2 linked regions of the Struthio camelus genome follow. The protein of the gene in region 1 binds, or shares a complex with, the protein of each later gene. Links are inferred from orthologs where the notes say so. Each region holds a gene or a part of one and is shown in the gene's direction. Other genes may lie near its edges.

Region 1 (7,911 bases):
GAAAGGGGAACGTGCTGATTCCTAGAAGCCCCACAGTTGAGAAGTAAAGTTTTGTGGGATGTCTTCACTTCAGAGAGTTTCAAAATGTGTAATGGAGGTGCATGGCAACTGGCCAGTCCTTACCTGATCCAAAATAACTTCTGTGTGCCAAATATCCTGGAGATGTGAGGAACTACAGCACCAGCTGCTTACACCTACCAATCTACTCCTATTGCACCAAATGAATAGCTAAAGTAAACAGCCTATGCTATTTTATTCGTTGCTCATAGACAGAACAAAAACTGTAATGGGTTATGATGCACCATACTTTTCCAGGAAAATCTCTTCCACAGCATTCTGAAAGCACAAATTCCATATTTAAATCAGATTCATGGCACCATTTTTATCGACTTTGAGAGACAGATTCAGAGAAAAAGGATTATCGAGCTGAGACTAATAGCTGCATTGAACATGCTCAAATTCACACTAGTTAACATTTTAAATAAGAAGTGCATCTGCGGGGGTGGCGGGGGGACTGTATTACTTAAATATGCCTTACTTTACTACGTAGTGCCACCTAGGGGTTAAAAGCTTTGAAAATGTTGAGTAGCAAGGCATAGGAAGCCATATTAATAGCAGAGATAATTTGTGGTGTTAAACCATCTGCATTTTGGAATTTACTACGCAAACAGAGTGGGTAAACTTCAGCGGAGTTTTCCATACTGTTGTATCTGACAAAAGCATTGTAACTTTCCCAGCTCCCTTTGCAGCAGGTCATAGTCTTCCTTCTCTTCTGTAGCCCAGCAGTGCCTCGGGATGTCAGAAACCCTGGTTTTCTCCTCTACAGTCCAGATCTTTCTCATACGCAGCAGTGGAGAGGTTATCTGCCACTGATAGGCTGGGTAGGGGATTGCTGTCCTGCCATTTTTGGGTCTACAAGAACTTAAAAAAGAGCCTTGACAAGTCATTTGCCTTGTGAGTCCAAAATCAGCGAGGAAACGCAGGCCTACTAAGTCTAGTTTGCTAAAGGAAGGTACTGTAAGAAGGAGGAGTGGGATTCTGGAACTGTCCTCTGCCTGCGAATAGATAGGATTTATTCCTCCTGAAACTGCTTTTTTTTTTTTCCACTTACACGTTACAAATTACAATTGGCTCCCTTTGATGTAGCCTACAAATGGGCAAAAGAAACCTAGAATAATCTGGACCATTTTTGTTTTTCCAAACTGAGTGTTGGGACTGAAAACCTGAACTGGATTATTTCTTTCCTGAAAAACTAAAACTCATGTTTTAAGAGAAATGTTTTGTTTCACACAAAACGTTCTTCTCTCTCAAATGGTATTTGATTTTATTCTGGATCTTCCACAGCAGGTGGCGTACCTGCCACACTGAGACCAGAGATCATTTTTACCTGCTCACTCGAGAAGAGCTACTATATACCTCAGGCAGAAGGCAAATTATACATGCATGTATTAAAGGACGTCTCTCCCCTACCTTTACAGGAAGATAACGAAGCTATCAGAACATTTAATTTTTGAAGGAAAAATATCAAGAAAATCTTTGATTGCATGACTCTATGCTTGAACTGCAATGCTAATAAAGGGCACGGGTCTTTTCCCTGCCCTTCAGCACCCTCCACATACATAAACATTAAATTCAATAATCATTAATCAGAAAGGAAGAAAAAACTCCTAGCTTTATTTGTCCTGTGTTCTTTTTTTAAATAAATCATATTGAAAAAAGAGGCCAGGCATTAAAAATAATTTTGCCTGAGACATAGAAATGGAACAAATACTTTGGTTTTGGAAACAAAAGTCAAAAACTTGCCGAAACAATGCTGCAAGCTATAGCAAAGATTGTCGTAATTACCTCTCAGGTAAACTGGCCCCAGAGTAAATTCACAGCGTGATGGATAAAGTAAACTCTTGTGACTCTCCTCTAGATATCATGATGTAGACACCAAGAGAAGCTGTATATCAGTGCTGCTATACTTGAAGCTGAATGAGCTTTAACAGAACTATCAATAAAAGCTATAGCAGGGAGCAGTAAATTCATGCACAGCGTACTCTGGAACATGCAGATTACTGTTTAGACACTGGGGACAAATACTATACGAAAGTCTTGAGAGAGGGAGACGTTCACATCAGGTCTACATAAGACATTTTTGTTCCGTCAGGAAGGGTGGACGTCTGGCAACTTTGTTATACTGATAAAAGTCATAGGGAATATATAGCTATACTAGTAGAAAAGTCCTTTTCACTTTATAGGTTCTATTGCTTACCAAGCAAGAATATATCAGCATAAATAAATATTTACACTAGTAAATATATACACATTAGAAAGACTTGCTATTACAACTTTATTGGCAAATGTTCTCTAGTACAAATATGACCTAATGGCCTGGACCAGCAACTATTTCTTGCAAAAGGATATGCAACAAATTAGAGAACCAGCAAACAAAATTTGAAATATTCAGAATTTCAGTTATGAAATAAAAAATGTTTTGCCCTGCTCTTCAAAACTCCTGAAATAATGTTTCCAAAATCTTTCATGGTAAAGGACTCAGATGGTTAAAGCCATGATGGTTCAAGGCATTCAGTGCTGGCCTGCCTAAAGTGCGTCTGTTTTTTTCCAACTGTACCCCTTAGTTAAACAAAATGTTACTTTCCTTATAGACCTCACCTCTCTGTTCTGCCCCACAGTATAGTATAGTAGCTGGATGCCTATGACAAACAGACTGGTAAAAAGAAATCCTTCTTCCACTAAACTAGTTTTGCCATCGACTTCTCCAAGGACAAACTTCATCCTCAAACCTTAATCTAATGTGCAAGAGACATACAACAGGTGCAGTATGTTTTAGACAGTCTGGTGTCTCTTGACAAATGCTGCCAGCTGGTAACAGGGTCACAACCATGTAAGGTAGAATATATTAAGCAGAATCAGGTATATCCACACTGACTGTCCCAAACAGAAATGCAAGTAGATGTTTAACAGGAATAAAATTGGGGAAGGGGGGGGAGAGGTCTTGGAGAGCTACATCTGGAGAAATAATATGGAAAAATACAGGAAATTATACCCATATTAACCAATGAGAAAAGTATTTGAAGCAGTGTTTTTCAGGAACCCCACTGCGACACAGGGAAAGCACACAACATAATGATGCAAAGTGACATTCACAGAGGGGCAATTAAGGCTAGCTGTCCCCGTGTCTCAGGAATTTGACTCCTAGGTACAGAAACACAGTGAGCCTTTTGGTGCCTGAGACAGCACCCCCCCTCCGTTTTCCTAACCCCATCCCAGCTCCCACGAACGTATATAGTGGGGGTTCAGAAGTGGAAGCGGTTCCCCTAGGCCTATCCACAGGACAGCCCTACCTGAGAGGCAGGACAACACATGACTGCTGAGCTTACAAAGATGTACCTTAGCAGAGATGAATGCTTACATACTACACAGAGTATTCACAACTCATTAATAAATATTTAAAAATCTGTATAACTATTTTGGATGCTGCAAACGTCATTTATCCCATGTCTCGTACTTTAATTACAAAGATAATGGTAACAATAAAAAATGCTAATTGGAGTCTTTTAAATCCGAGGGGGGGTTACTTTGCAGCACAGCACACTGAATTTCAAGGACACTTCAGATTCATTGTGTGAAACAAGGCTTCCCTGGGGTGTAGAGGGAGGGAAGACTCCCGGCTGGATTAAACTGGTACTCAAACATCAGTTTACAAAGGAATTTAGGATGCAGACACAATGGCACCTTATCTACCTTAATTACTATGGTGATGAGCACTTTAACAACACTTAAGATAGGCTGATAATCCATATAAGACCATATAAAGTAGTCAATATTTTGAAGTGATTAATTCGAAGACAAACTGAAAGTCAAGATAGATTATTTCAGGAAAATCTGGTTATTTGATGCACTTTTAGGAAAAGAATGAAAATGCAGCATGAGTTACAAGTAAATAATGGGAATTATCAAAGTGGAGTTTCATGCTGGGATGCTGAGGGGAAAATCCCTTTAGTGTGCTCCCCATCATCTACATGGAAACCAGCCAGGGTTGGGGTTTGCCTTCTACCTCCAAGGTAGTTTGCTGTTGTTGAACAGGATCTACCGCTTCTCAAAACAGATGTATTTGAGCTCAGACCCAAACCCTCAGTTTTAGAGGGCCGTGTAGTATGTTTCCGTCCCAGCATCTCAAAAATTTTACTCTGAAGGACGGCGCTCTGCTGAGGAAGAGGCCGGGAAGGGAATTAACAGGTACTTTTTTAAAAATTACTTTGCTTTCCTAATAAGGAACATCTTTTCTTCATACCAGATCAGTGACATTTGAAAAGTCCAAGCCTTACACTGTTATCGGGATTGGCTGCTCAGGAAACGATCCTAACATGTCTAGACCAAGGGCGGGGGGCGGGGGGGAGGTTTAAGACGCAGCAGCCAATACACCCACGGACGGCTGCGGAAAAAGCAGCTGCAAAACCGAAGCAGCCTGTTGAAACGCTGTCCCTCTAACGCAAGGAGACGTCCCCCGTTTGGGCCTTGCGGGGACCGTTAGACGGCGCGTTAGCGAGGCCGAGCCGGGTCCCAACGGCCGCCAGGGCCCCCCTCCGCCCCGCTGGGGTAAGAAACAGGCCGGGCTGTTTTCCAGGCCCGCGTCCGTCCCTGGAGCGCCCCCGTCACCCCCCAACGGCCGCCAGCCGTAACATGGCGCCCCGACGCAGCCCGGCAGCGCCGGGGGGGGGGGGGGGGAGTGTGTTGGGGGGGGGTGGCAGTGAGTGCCGCGACGTGATGCGCATGCGCCACCCCGCCCCGCGGCCTCCCCTCGCGGCGTGGGGGCGGGGCGCTGCACGGCGTCCTGACGTCAGAGGCGCGAACCCCAGCAACGGGCGGACGTCGCGAGGCCGCCGGGAACCCGGAAGCGGCGGGCGAATAGGGAGCGAGTGGCGCAGTTAGCGGGGCGGAGGCGCGGCGCGGGGCGCTGAGAGTCCGCGGCGGAAAAGTAGTCCCGGGGGAGGAGGGGGGGGTGGTCCGCGAGCGCGGCTAGTGCTGCTGGGACGGGGTGGGGGAGCCTCGGCCCCGCACCAGCGCTCTCGGACGGAGCTCGGAGGCGGCGGAGATGGCCGCGGACAAGGCCGCGGGTGAGTGCGGGGCGAGCCGCCGTCGGGCCGCTCCGCGCGCGGGGCACCTGGGCCGCGCGGGGCGGAAGGAGACGCGGCCAAGGCCGCGGCGTCTCGTCCCCGTGTCCTTCCGCCGAGGGAAGTAGCGCGCGGGCGGCGGCGGCGGCGGCGGGGCGGCCGGCTGGCGGGCTTGCTCCGCCGGCGGGGCTGCCTGCCGGGGTCGCGGCGGCGCCCCGAGGCCTCGGCGGTTACTAACCCGAGGGCGGCGGGGGGACGGGGCTTCCCCCGGGGCTGAGTAACCGCAACAGAAGTTGCGGCTGGCTTAGTCTGTTCAACGGGGGCCTTCCGACGGCGTTGGGGGGCGATTTCGAAGAAGGCGACCACAATAAACCAGACTTACAATTACTGTATGACTTGCTGGCGCTGATAGCTACTGCTCTTCCTCTCCCGTAAGACTGCGCTTGATGCAGGAAGCCCTCCTGGCTGCGAGGTTCCTTCCCTCAGGTGGTGGCTGGGTGGGGATGAAGTGGGCAATGTGAGGGAAAGCCAAAAGGATCTGCTTGTGTCCTCGAGTCCTTCAGCTGGGCTTCTGCCGTGGGAGCGTTTCTTGGAATTGCCTCTGAAAATTGTCTTTCAATATGCTAAGTGTCACACTTGCTCTCAGTATCTGAAGACCACCGTGGGAAAGATTAGTGTACCTTGCTAAGTGATGCGTATTAAACCGTCCTGCATTTATTTAAAAGAAGCTCACTGTGATTATAAACTACCAGGAAAGTTTGGCGTTAGGAGATTATATATTTCCCCTTTCTTGGAAATGGTGAAGTCAGGAACTTGTCTGTTGTACTAGGTTAGAAGAAAAATACTTGTCCAAATGAAGCAAACACATTGGCTAGATAGTCTGCATATCTGCATGTATGTGCCTATAGCAGAGTGAGTTATGAATAACTTCTGAGTGAAAAATGTTTCCTTCTTAGTGTGCAGTGTTAAATCTAATATGTTGAGATTAGTAGCACAATGCTTCATAGAAAAATGTACTTTCTGAGCCACAAACTGTTGTTGTCTCCTTAGAAGGGCTGAATGCTTTGGCTGCTCTTCATAGCCATCAAAATGTTGTTGGAGTGAGACACCTGTGATAGATTCCTCTCTTTCCCAGGAGGAGATTATCCCCCTGCCTCTAGAGTTTGGAAATATAAAATAATTCGAGAGATGCTCTGGCATTCAACAGCACAGTTTATACAAGGTGTAATTTAAAGGGCCTGGAAACGAGAGGGCTCAAGAGCAGCAATCCTTGGAGATAACAGGTAGGAGAAGGATAACGATTGCAGTCACTGTCCTTTGGGTCTGTGTATGTGGGAGATGTGACTTCTCATTGCTTATATGATGTTGTGTCAGCAGGCCAAAGAGGAGGACAATCTCCCTTTGCAGGTGGCAATCTCATGCTCTTCCTTGTTCTCCTCTAGTAGAACGAGTTCCCCACAAAGCAGATTCTGCTGTCCACCTGGTGCAACTTCTCCAGGAGGAGCAACTACCTGCTGATGCAAAAAGAAATGTCTCCCTGACACAGTGTTTCTGCTGCTCAGCCCCATGTGATACAGGTTGCTAACCAAGAAGATAGTTTCCTGACTTGCTTTCTTTTACATCCAACCCAGTGCAGCAGCTTTCTCCAGATCAAAATGTGAGCAGATAATTTTTACATCCTTTCCCTTTTCCTGGATGTCATTTCTGCTCCTCGCCACTAGTCTGAGAACTATGAGTTTTAGAGATGCTTTGTACTTGAGAAGGTTAGACAACGTGAAAAGTGTAAAAACAAACAAAACAGCTCCACGTGTAGATAAAGTTTGCATAGATAAATTGTGTCCTGTCGTTTGTAAAACAGAGAATCTACACTGTTTCAAATAGTTCGGCTGACATTTGTAGCTGCTCTACAAATAGGAGCATGTTGATAATGACTAGCATGCCTTGTACCTCACGGACCACGTGCTTCTACAAGAACGCCAAAGATCACTAGATCTAAGTAGCATGCTGTATGTTTTGCCAGTGAACCATGTACTTTCGTTTTCAAACGCCTCCGGAAGTATTGACATAATTATTTGCAAGCAGTTGATAGACGTTTGCAGTCAGGATAATAAGAGTACTTTTTCTCCTAAATTTATAAGTGGGATTGGAGGGTTCTTTCTGGTATCTGGGGCAGCCTTACTTTAGATGTCTTGTTTGTGAGGTATCTCAATAATTAAGATCAACCAAAGCAATAGATCCTGGTTTAAACAAGTTTGGGAGGATTACAGTAGATTAGAGGAAGTCGATCAGTTTGGAGCCATAAAACTAACCTTATGGGAGAAAGGGAAGGCCTGTTTTTGCTTAAAATAGTCTCCAATTTCATACTAGGAGACTTAAGAGGTATAGTGAAATCTATTTGTAGACCTGTTGTGTTCTTTCCTAGGAAATAGGTGTAAAGCAGATATTCAGGAGTGCTTTTCTTAGACAACTAGCTTGCAGTCTCTTTGACCTAACTTTCTCTTAATTGAAGAAAAGGCGCTTTGCTTCGGGAATCAGACTTTCATAAGCCCAGTTTCTTTGAGATGCCTGTTTTGTGAACTTGCATACCATAATTACTTATGTGGGTTTTCATGGCACTATAACAGGTTTGTGAAAGTGCTTATAGTGATGTGACAAGTAGCTGTCAATGACATCTTCAGCATTATTCAACTCGCTGTGTGAACCCTGACTCCATGGAACATTGCGTAAACATGTTTTTATTGCATGTAGTGGTTTCTGAAAACTAGAACCTCCCTTTTCATACGGGTGCATT
Region 2 (7,824 bases), on another chromosome or scaffold:
GTAAATGTGTTCAGATGTTAACAGTTGATTGGGATGAGTAAGAACCATGGGATTTTTTAGATCTATTGCTTTACTACTGCAGTATAACCCAAATGGACACACTAGAAAATGTTAACGACTAAATGTTCCTCTAGTCCTGCAAGCTTAAGGAAGAGAATAAGATTCAACATGCATTTTAAACTGCTATAGTCCTGATAATGAATCAAATATCTAAGTAATTATACCAGTCATTTAAACACAGTATACAAATATCTTGGGTGGTGGTAGAGCTCAGCATTAGTATCCCTAACTGACAAAAAGGAGTTAGAAATCCCTCTCTTATTACGGATGTCTTAATATTAAAAGCAGATATTTCTAGAAAGAAATAGCTGAAAGCTTTTTGTCATGTTCAATTTCTTCTTAAGTATTTAGGCAACTTTTGTATAAATACAAACATATGTAATAAAGTAATGCTAGGGTTGCAAAGCTAAGTACCTACAAACTATGGCATCCCAGGATTCAAATTCTTTAATTCAGCTCTACTGTGAATATGCGTAAGGGCAGTTTTCAATTATCTTTTCACACACAAGTCTTCTGGAAGCCGCCTCACTCCATTCTGTCCAGAGGAAACCAGGAATATTAATCTCCTCAATGCTTTTTGTATGGGGCTTTCCTATACTTTTAATGCTCAATAAACATCAAAGATTAATCTTTACCATCCCACTATGACAACAGATGCTATTATGTTCACTTGATAAATGGAGAACAGGCCATAAAACTAAAGGCTGAAATCATGAAGCGTGCAGTGATTCTAGATGTCCGATGTGAGCGCCCCAAGACCTAATTTTTCAGAGTATCTGTGTTTGCAGCAACGTCCCATGTCCAGAGCAGTGATCCCACTGATCTCCACTGCCTTGGAAGCTTCTCTGCAAGTCAGACCCTGGTCTCTCTACCTGGATATACTGAAAATGTAGAAGATCAGGCTTTAAGTGATCTCTGCCCTCCTGTCTGGGATCCCTCACCTGCTTCATTCACTCCCTTCCTTCCTCCTCATTATCCATCCTGCTTCACTGCAATGCTGCTCTCTTTCTTCTCTGCTCCATTTCTCATCCCCGTACATTGCAGTTACTCTGCTCCTCTGTCTTCACATTTCCCAGACACAAAGTGGGAGTGCAGCCAGCACAGAAAGTCTCCTTGTTCACCTCTTCCGTAACCAAAACCGTAAGAGCTTTCCCAAGCCAGGACAGCTCTGAGCTTGTTTTCTTTCAGGATGGGGAGATGCCTCCTGCGTTCGCTCATCCCATATGAGTCACAAAGGATGAAGGACTCTGTCTTTTACTTCAAAGAATTTAGAAGTCAAGCAAGTCTTTACTGAGTCAAGCAAGTCTGTATTTCAAATGATTCTAACTTTACCAAATTTGGCCATTTAAACAAGGGCAAAAGCAAAACGTACCATAACTCTGCCACAAAGGCAATTCTTTACCACAAGTTTCACATCCCTCTGTCAATGCATAGAGGCAATAGGTTCTCAAAACAGCTGTAATTATTTGCAACGTGGACAATTACCTTCCCCACCCCCCTCTCCTCCACACTCCCCAGCTCCTACCTTGAATAAATGCATGAGGAGGGAAGATGACAGAGAGAGTGGGCTGCTAGCAGTTTTTGAGCTAGGTCACAGCAAATGCTTATAGCTCCAGGTGTAAGATCAGAAAGACTGTAGGACATACACCTTTGTCTAGTGGGACACTTGCTTGTGTGCCACAAGCTAGGTTTGGCCTAAAGGCGGCCGCTCAAAGACTCCCATTCCACAGCACAAACATGTATTTATGTACTATTTAATTTATGAATGAAAACTTAAGCTCAGACTATTTTGAATTTAACTTTTCTGCACTCATTTGACTCTCTTTAACAACAGTACTGGCCTGAGCTCAGGACAAGCACGCTCCATGTGACACTGCAGCTCCTGAGATGTATGGAAACTCTCACGGGCAGGTAAAAGATTAATGGGAATGGCTCTCTTTTGATTGATGAATCTGTGACCTTGAGCAACAAGAGCGCTTGCATAAAGTATATCTGCCATGTGAGACAGACAAAATGAAAGAGGCTCGTATTACACTCTCAGATCTCATTAAGCACCCAGACCAGAAACACTAATACTGGCACTAGCCATCTGCTGCAGTGTTTGCCTGGTTACAGTTCTGATGACACTTAACGTGAAGCAAAAGTTAATTGTATGCACAGATGAGCAACAGTGCTTCTGCACAGGAAATTCACTGTAGCATAACGGTTTCTAAAAAAACCACATGCGTGTTTTTACTTCATTCTGTTTTTTTTTCAAATCACATAATCAAATTGACTGTTCAAACAAAACTTATTGACATAAAAGGCCATAACTTTAGACTCTTCAAATATTGCTGCTTTTTTATAAATAACCTCTAAAGTTACCAGAAAGTCAATTTGCCCAATTGCTGTGATCACCTGTTGATTTATATAATAGACAATACTACAGAATTATTTTGTGAGCGCTCTTAAATGATTTCCTCTGATGCTCTCTTTTTTGCTTATCTCAATTACTTGAGAATTACTAGTATTTTCTGCCATTTGGTCTCCATTTGCAATGATGAAGGCCCTTGCCGGTAGACCTTTCCAAGTCTACTGTAATATTATCCCAGTACCCATCCCCAAGGAATGAATTTTCCCTGCAAATTTTGAAAGACTTACGATCAGCTGAGTGTTCTTTGTTGAGAAGCAATTCCTGGAAAATTCTGCAATGCATTCAAAGACTTTACTACTGCTTTTGGAGAATTAACTCTAGGCAAAATGATATAGTCGATTGAGGCCATATCTGACCTAGAAAGTATTAACTGAAGAATGTGGGTGACAGCTGGTTATCAGAAATAAAACATATATAGTAAAAGAGAATGACACATAGAGCTACTTGAGCTAGCTCTAAACGACTGTCAGCTCTACAGGAGCCAGCTTCAGCCCTGGAAGCAGATCCAGCACTTCTGCCAGAACAGGCGCTACGTCCAGTAACGGAGCCAGCTCAGATGTCTTCAAAACCCTACTGCATCATGCAGCATGGAGACATTTCAACATCCGAGAATTTCAGATACGTGACCTGAGCAGGCTGGGCAGAAATCTGAGGTATAGCATGTTATTTAAAGCACCAAGGGAGTAAACTTTTCAGCTGCGTCCATTTTATGACCACGCCTGGTACACCGCGTGGGGTCATTCTTTGCAAAGTGCTTCTTTTGCTGGCCATTGTCGGTGCTGCGCAGGAGCAAGATGAGGTAGTCTCCATTTTTCAACTAGATTAGAAGAGAATGGCCTGTTCCACAACTATGTAAGTGCCGTTTATTTTCACTTACATACCCAGTTATACCTAAACAGATGAAGCTTCAGTTCTTTTTAGCCTTCCTATTTCAGAAATAGGTTGCATTTCTGTGATAACGTTTTTTGCTTACTATCCCTCTTGACTAGATGGGGCACGTTGAGCGCGCTAGCAATTTTCTGTCTCAACATCGCTTGGACGTTTTAACTTTATGATAATCAAGGGAAATCCACTCCATTTTGAGACCATTATTTGCAATTTTGGCCAATGCTACCCCACTGATTTTTTGATTTCACTGATTCTTTGTTCCCCACATCTCTTACCTTCGCATCTCTTGTCTTACGGTAAAATCTTTTGGCACAGTGGCGGTAATAACAACACCTAACAACAACGTCCTTTATTTTTCCAAATATCTCGGTATACCTCCACTAACTGGTTCAAACACGAAATTAAGGAGACCTAACCTGCATTTCACACAGGGTGCCGATGGTGACTCTGGTTGCCATTTTACCGTAAACATCGCCCATGCAAACGTCAGCAGCAAACGATCCAGGGCACTATTTTGTTATTGAAGACACTCACATATAAAAGACATCGCCCTTCATAAAAAGCACATTTTGTCTGAGCACGCATACTGCACGTTCGGGTTCTTAGTGATTCTTATCTACACGCAGAGGAATTTGAAGTTGTTAAAATACACGATTATTTTAATTAGGCTTCCTGGACTTGCGCTAGAAGCTGTTTCACTGCTTTACACCCTTCACACCGGCCTAATATTTGAAACATAGAGGAAACGTTCCTCTCCCGCCTCCCCCGGCCCGGCGCGGGCCCGCGCGGAGGGCGCCTCTGCGGGGCCAGACACGCTTCCCCCCCCCCCAGCACCCCCGTTTCTGCCCGGATCTCCCCCAAACGCGGCTGCGGCCACCCCCGCTGCTGGTTTCCCCCCACCCTCCATTTGCCAGCCCGCCCGGTCTCCCCGCCGCCGGGGCTCCAACGCCGACTCCGCCATCTCGCTCCCCCCCGCCGCGGCCCGGGCCCTGCGCGGCGGCGCCGGCGGCGGCGGCGGGGCCCGGCGCGGCCAATGGCGCGGGCTGTGGGCGGCGGCGGCGGCGGGCGGGGCGGAGGGAGGCAGGGCCGGAGGAGGCAGGGCCGGCCCGCCCGCCGCCGCCGCCGCCGCTACCGCCACCACCACAACCACCACCAGCAGCAGCACCGCCATGATGCTTGTTTGCTTTCAATGAGTGCGAGGAGGAGGCGGGGGGGGGCTGCTCTGCCGTCCGGCCCGCGGCAGGAAACAAAGAGCCAGGCAGGCGGCGGAGAGAGGGCGGCGGGGCGACGGGGATGCTGCAGCCACAGGTAGGGGCCGCCCCCGCGGCCTCGGGGCGGGGGGCGCTGTGGCGGGGAGGAGTATTAATGCCGGGCCGGGGGGCGGGGGGGGGCACGGCCGCTGGTGGGGGAAGGGAGGAGCGCTGTTATGGCGAGCGGGGAGCGCTGCCCGGCGGGGGCTGCCGGGGGTGGAGGTAGGGCGGGGGTTGGACCTCCTCGGAGTTTGGAGGGGGCGGTGGGAGTTAGTTGGTAGGGGGAGGTTCCCCCCCCACCCCCACCACCGGGCTGAGGGGGGTGTCAGCGCCGTGGGCCGGGGCCGTTGCGGCCGCGCAGGCCCCTCCCGGCGCGGCGCTGGGGGAAGGGGCCGCGGGCCCGGCGGGGGTGCGGCGCGGCGCTGGGGGAAGGGGCTGCGCGGCCGCGGGCGGCGCTGGCGGCAGCGCGCTGCCTCCGCCGGGGGCGGCTGCTGCTGCCGCCGCGGGCAGGGCCGGGCCGGGCCCCCGTGCGGGGCGGGGGGTCCCGCCGCCAACCGGCGGTGGCGGGCAGGTAAACACCGATGTGGCGGGTGAGCGTGCAGGGCGCAGGGGAAGCGGGGAAGCTGCCGGGCGTATCGGCCCGGGGAAGGCAATTAAGAGGAATTAGCCTAATGACATCTGGAAGCGTGAAGTTTTGTTTTTTTTTTTTAAACTGTGCAGTTGAGTTTAAAATAATTAAACAAAGACAGGGAGAAAGGTGTGTGTTGGGGGGGGGGGGGAATGACATCAATGTGACAATCGCCCGTCTGCGCTCCGAGCGCAGTTTCCCCCTTCCCGAGAGGGACCGATGGGTCTCAGCCGCGGCGGTGCCCGGCGCTGCTCGGGGCGCGGCTGGGGCCGGCGCTGGCTGGCGGCGGCGGGCAGCGGCCTAGCTGGCGGCGGGGAGGCCGGAGCGGCCCTGGCAGCGCTCGGCGAAGGGGAAGACGGCCGAGGTTGGGGGGGGGGGGGCGTGACGGACGGCGCGGCCGGCCAATGAGGGCAGGCGGGGGGCGGGACTTGCGCGGCCACGTGAGGCCGGGGGACAGACGCATGCAGGGGTAAACAGAGGGGAATTGGGACAGCGGCCCCAAAAGGGGCTTGTTTGTCCGCGGCGCCGCGGGAAGGGGGGCGTCCGCTGGCAGCCGTGGGAGGTATCCAAACGCGTCGGGCTGCAGCGCTCTTGAAGAGGCCATTATTCTTTAATTGAGCTAATTAGGGGAGGAATTTTTACTGCGTTCGTTAGTCCCCGTGCACCTGTCCGGCAGTCTAAAAAAATCTGAGCTGAATGTGAGGCTTTTTGTGCTGCCTGCGCTCTCGGAGCGTGAAGCAATGCGGTAGGAGTTCCCGGGGTCCCTCTGCCGGGGCTGCCTTCCCCCCCTTTACCCTGTCATAGAAAATGTTAAGTCTGGGGCCATACAAGACTTTTAAAAACTGCATTTCTGTGCCTCTGTGTTGCAGACACGGTTCACCAGGAGCTTTTCCACGAATGTTAAAGAGTCATACAAAGCTTACTTTGCTTTTTGCAGTGTAAGAAATGCATTCAGAGCAGACACAGTAAAACAGGGTTGTATTTTTTTAATAAACATCTGTATTTCTGCAGATGCACAAAGAATTGCATTACTGGAAATATAAGCGCATAGGCAGGCGTTTGCTTTGCGACTAGCAAGTCTTCTGGGTTTGGGTTCTTTTTTTTTTTTTTTTTGAGGGTTATTTTCTCAGTCTAGATTTTGCCACGATGGGTAACTAATTCAAAATACAAGGGATTCAGAAATAGCTGTGGCATTTGTCTGGCTTAAATATGAGGATATACAAGTGTTGACTGGTAATTGTTTTGTATCTTGCACTTTTTTTTTTTCTTCATTCTAGAGCAGGTCTCGTAATTGGGAATTTATCAACATTTCCACTGGGGTAATTTTACAGGATTATCCACCCTCTGTTCTTCCTGCTGGTTCATCTGGACTCTGTGGAGTTTGCTGCTAGCAAAGAAGCCTTCTGTGGGGGTTTATTCATGCTATTACTGAAATGGAGCCCTTCACGTTTGGATTAACTCTTTATTCACTTTGCACCTGAATCGCTTGGATCGGTCCATTTTATTAAAAGGATACTACCATGCATCTCTTTTCTGTTTGCATATTGAAGTTGAACTCTGAGCGCAGTCTTGATGTGTTCAGGCTGTTTACTGTGCTTGAATTTTAGAGGAAGAACTGAAATATAAAGATAGATGAGACTGTAATACTGCATGGGCAGGTAAATACTCTTGACGTTTTACATATGAAGACTTAAAAACATGTCACAAAGGGTCACAAATCGAATGAGTGTGGTACCCGTAGAAATAAAAAATGTTAAGGTCAGGCTGTTCTGGATATTAGGAAGACTTGCTCTTCTAAACAAGTGCAGTGTTCATAATGGAAGAGGCTATCCTTGAAAAGGGGTAGATGCTCCCAAGGGTGAACAAACTAAAAATTCTTTCCCAACTCAACAACAAAAGCATCCCTTTTATAAAGCATGGCAGCGAAAATAAAAATGGGCTGTATTCTATCAGTAGGAATGCCAAAAAGCTAAGTGTTTTTGTTTGTAGTGCAATGTAGCTTATTATATGGATTACCAGCGTGCCTAGGAGGCCAGGTGGTGAACCTGAATTCCTCGTTCCGGTTGCGTAGCCCCTGCTGCAGAGGCTGTAGGCCTACTTCTTCTGTTTACCAGCAGACTATTGAAATTCAAATTTTTCTCTTGTTCTGTCATGTAATTGTGGCTGAACGTGTGTGTATGTGCAGTTTGTAACACACCGTCCCTGGTCCAAAGGGGGCTAATTTAAGTGAAGGGTGTACCTAGACGGTATTTTCATGAATGAAATATACTTTTAGTCTTTAGAATCTAGTTGCATATTTTACAAGAATTGATAGTTAACCCGATATTACTTTTGCTAGGAGAAATGTACAGTGCCCAGAGGTAATAATTATGTATGAGCTTGGAAAAGTAACACAGACCTTAAAATCCCAGAAGAGCAATCTCTGCAGACCCTACATTTCGTTTCTAGTCCTAGCTACACGAGAGAGAGGTTGACTCTTGCCCTGTGGCATACAATGTGCCTTGGTTTTTTTTATCTGTGTATTGAGATCTTAAACCATGAAGAGATCTTTAGACTGGATTCAGTAGCGGTAGCTAAGTGTTTTG

Evidence for each region. Proteins that work in one complex are often made in the same cells at the same time.
Region 2: CNOT10 (region 1) and CNOT6 share a complex: the UniProt entries of both Homo sapiens proteins name them as parts of the CCR4-NOT complex. The link is inferred for Struthio camelus from reciprocal best matches to the Homo sapiens genes CNOT10 and CNOT6.

Annotation. Positions count from the first base shown.
Region 1 is NC_090943.1:47,701,715-47,709,625, forward strand, and holds the start of CNOT10 (CCR4-NOT transcription complex subunit 10), read left to right. Parts: upstream 1-4,811; 5' UTR 4,812-5,101; coding exon 5,102-5,123; intron 5,124-5,277; exon of another isoform or gene 5,278-5,551; intron 5,552-6,255; exon of another isoform or gene 6,256-6,403; intron 6,404-6,562; exon of another isoform or gene 6,563-6,777; intron 6,778-7,911. UniProt on the Homo sapiens protein: Component of the CCR4-NOT complex which is one of the major cellular mRNA deadenylases and is linked to various cellular processes including bulk mRNA degradation, miRNA-mediated repression, translational repression during translational initiation and general transcription regulation.
Region 2 is NC_090954.1:6,505,580-6,513,403, forward strand, and holds the start of CNOT6 (CCR4-NOT transcription complex subunit 6), read left to right. Parts: upstream 1-4,753; 5' UTR 4,754-4,787; coding exon 4,788-4,833; intron 4,834-6,208; exon of another isoform or gene 6,209-6,897; intron 6,898-7,824. UniProt on the Homo sapiens protein: Poly(A) nuclease with 3'-5' RNase activity.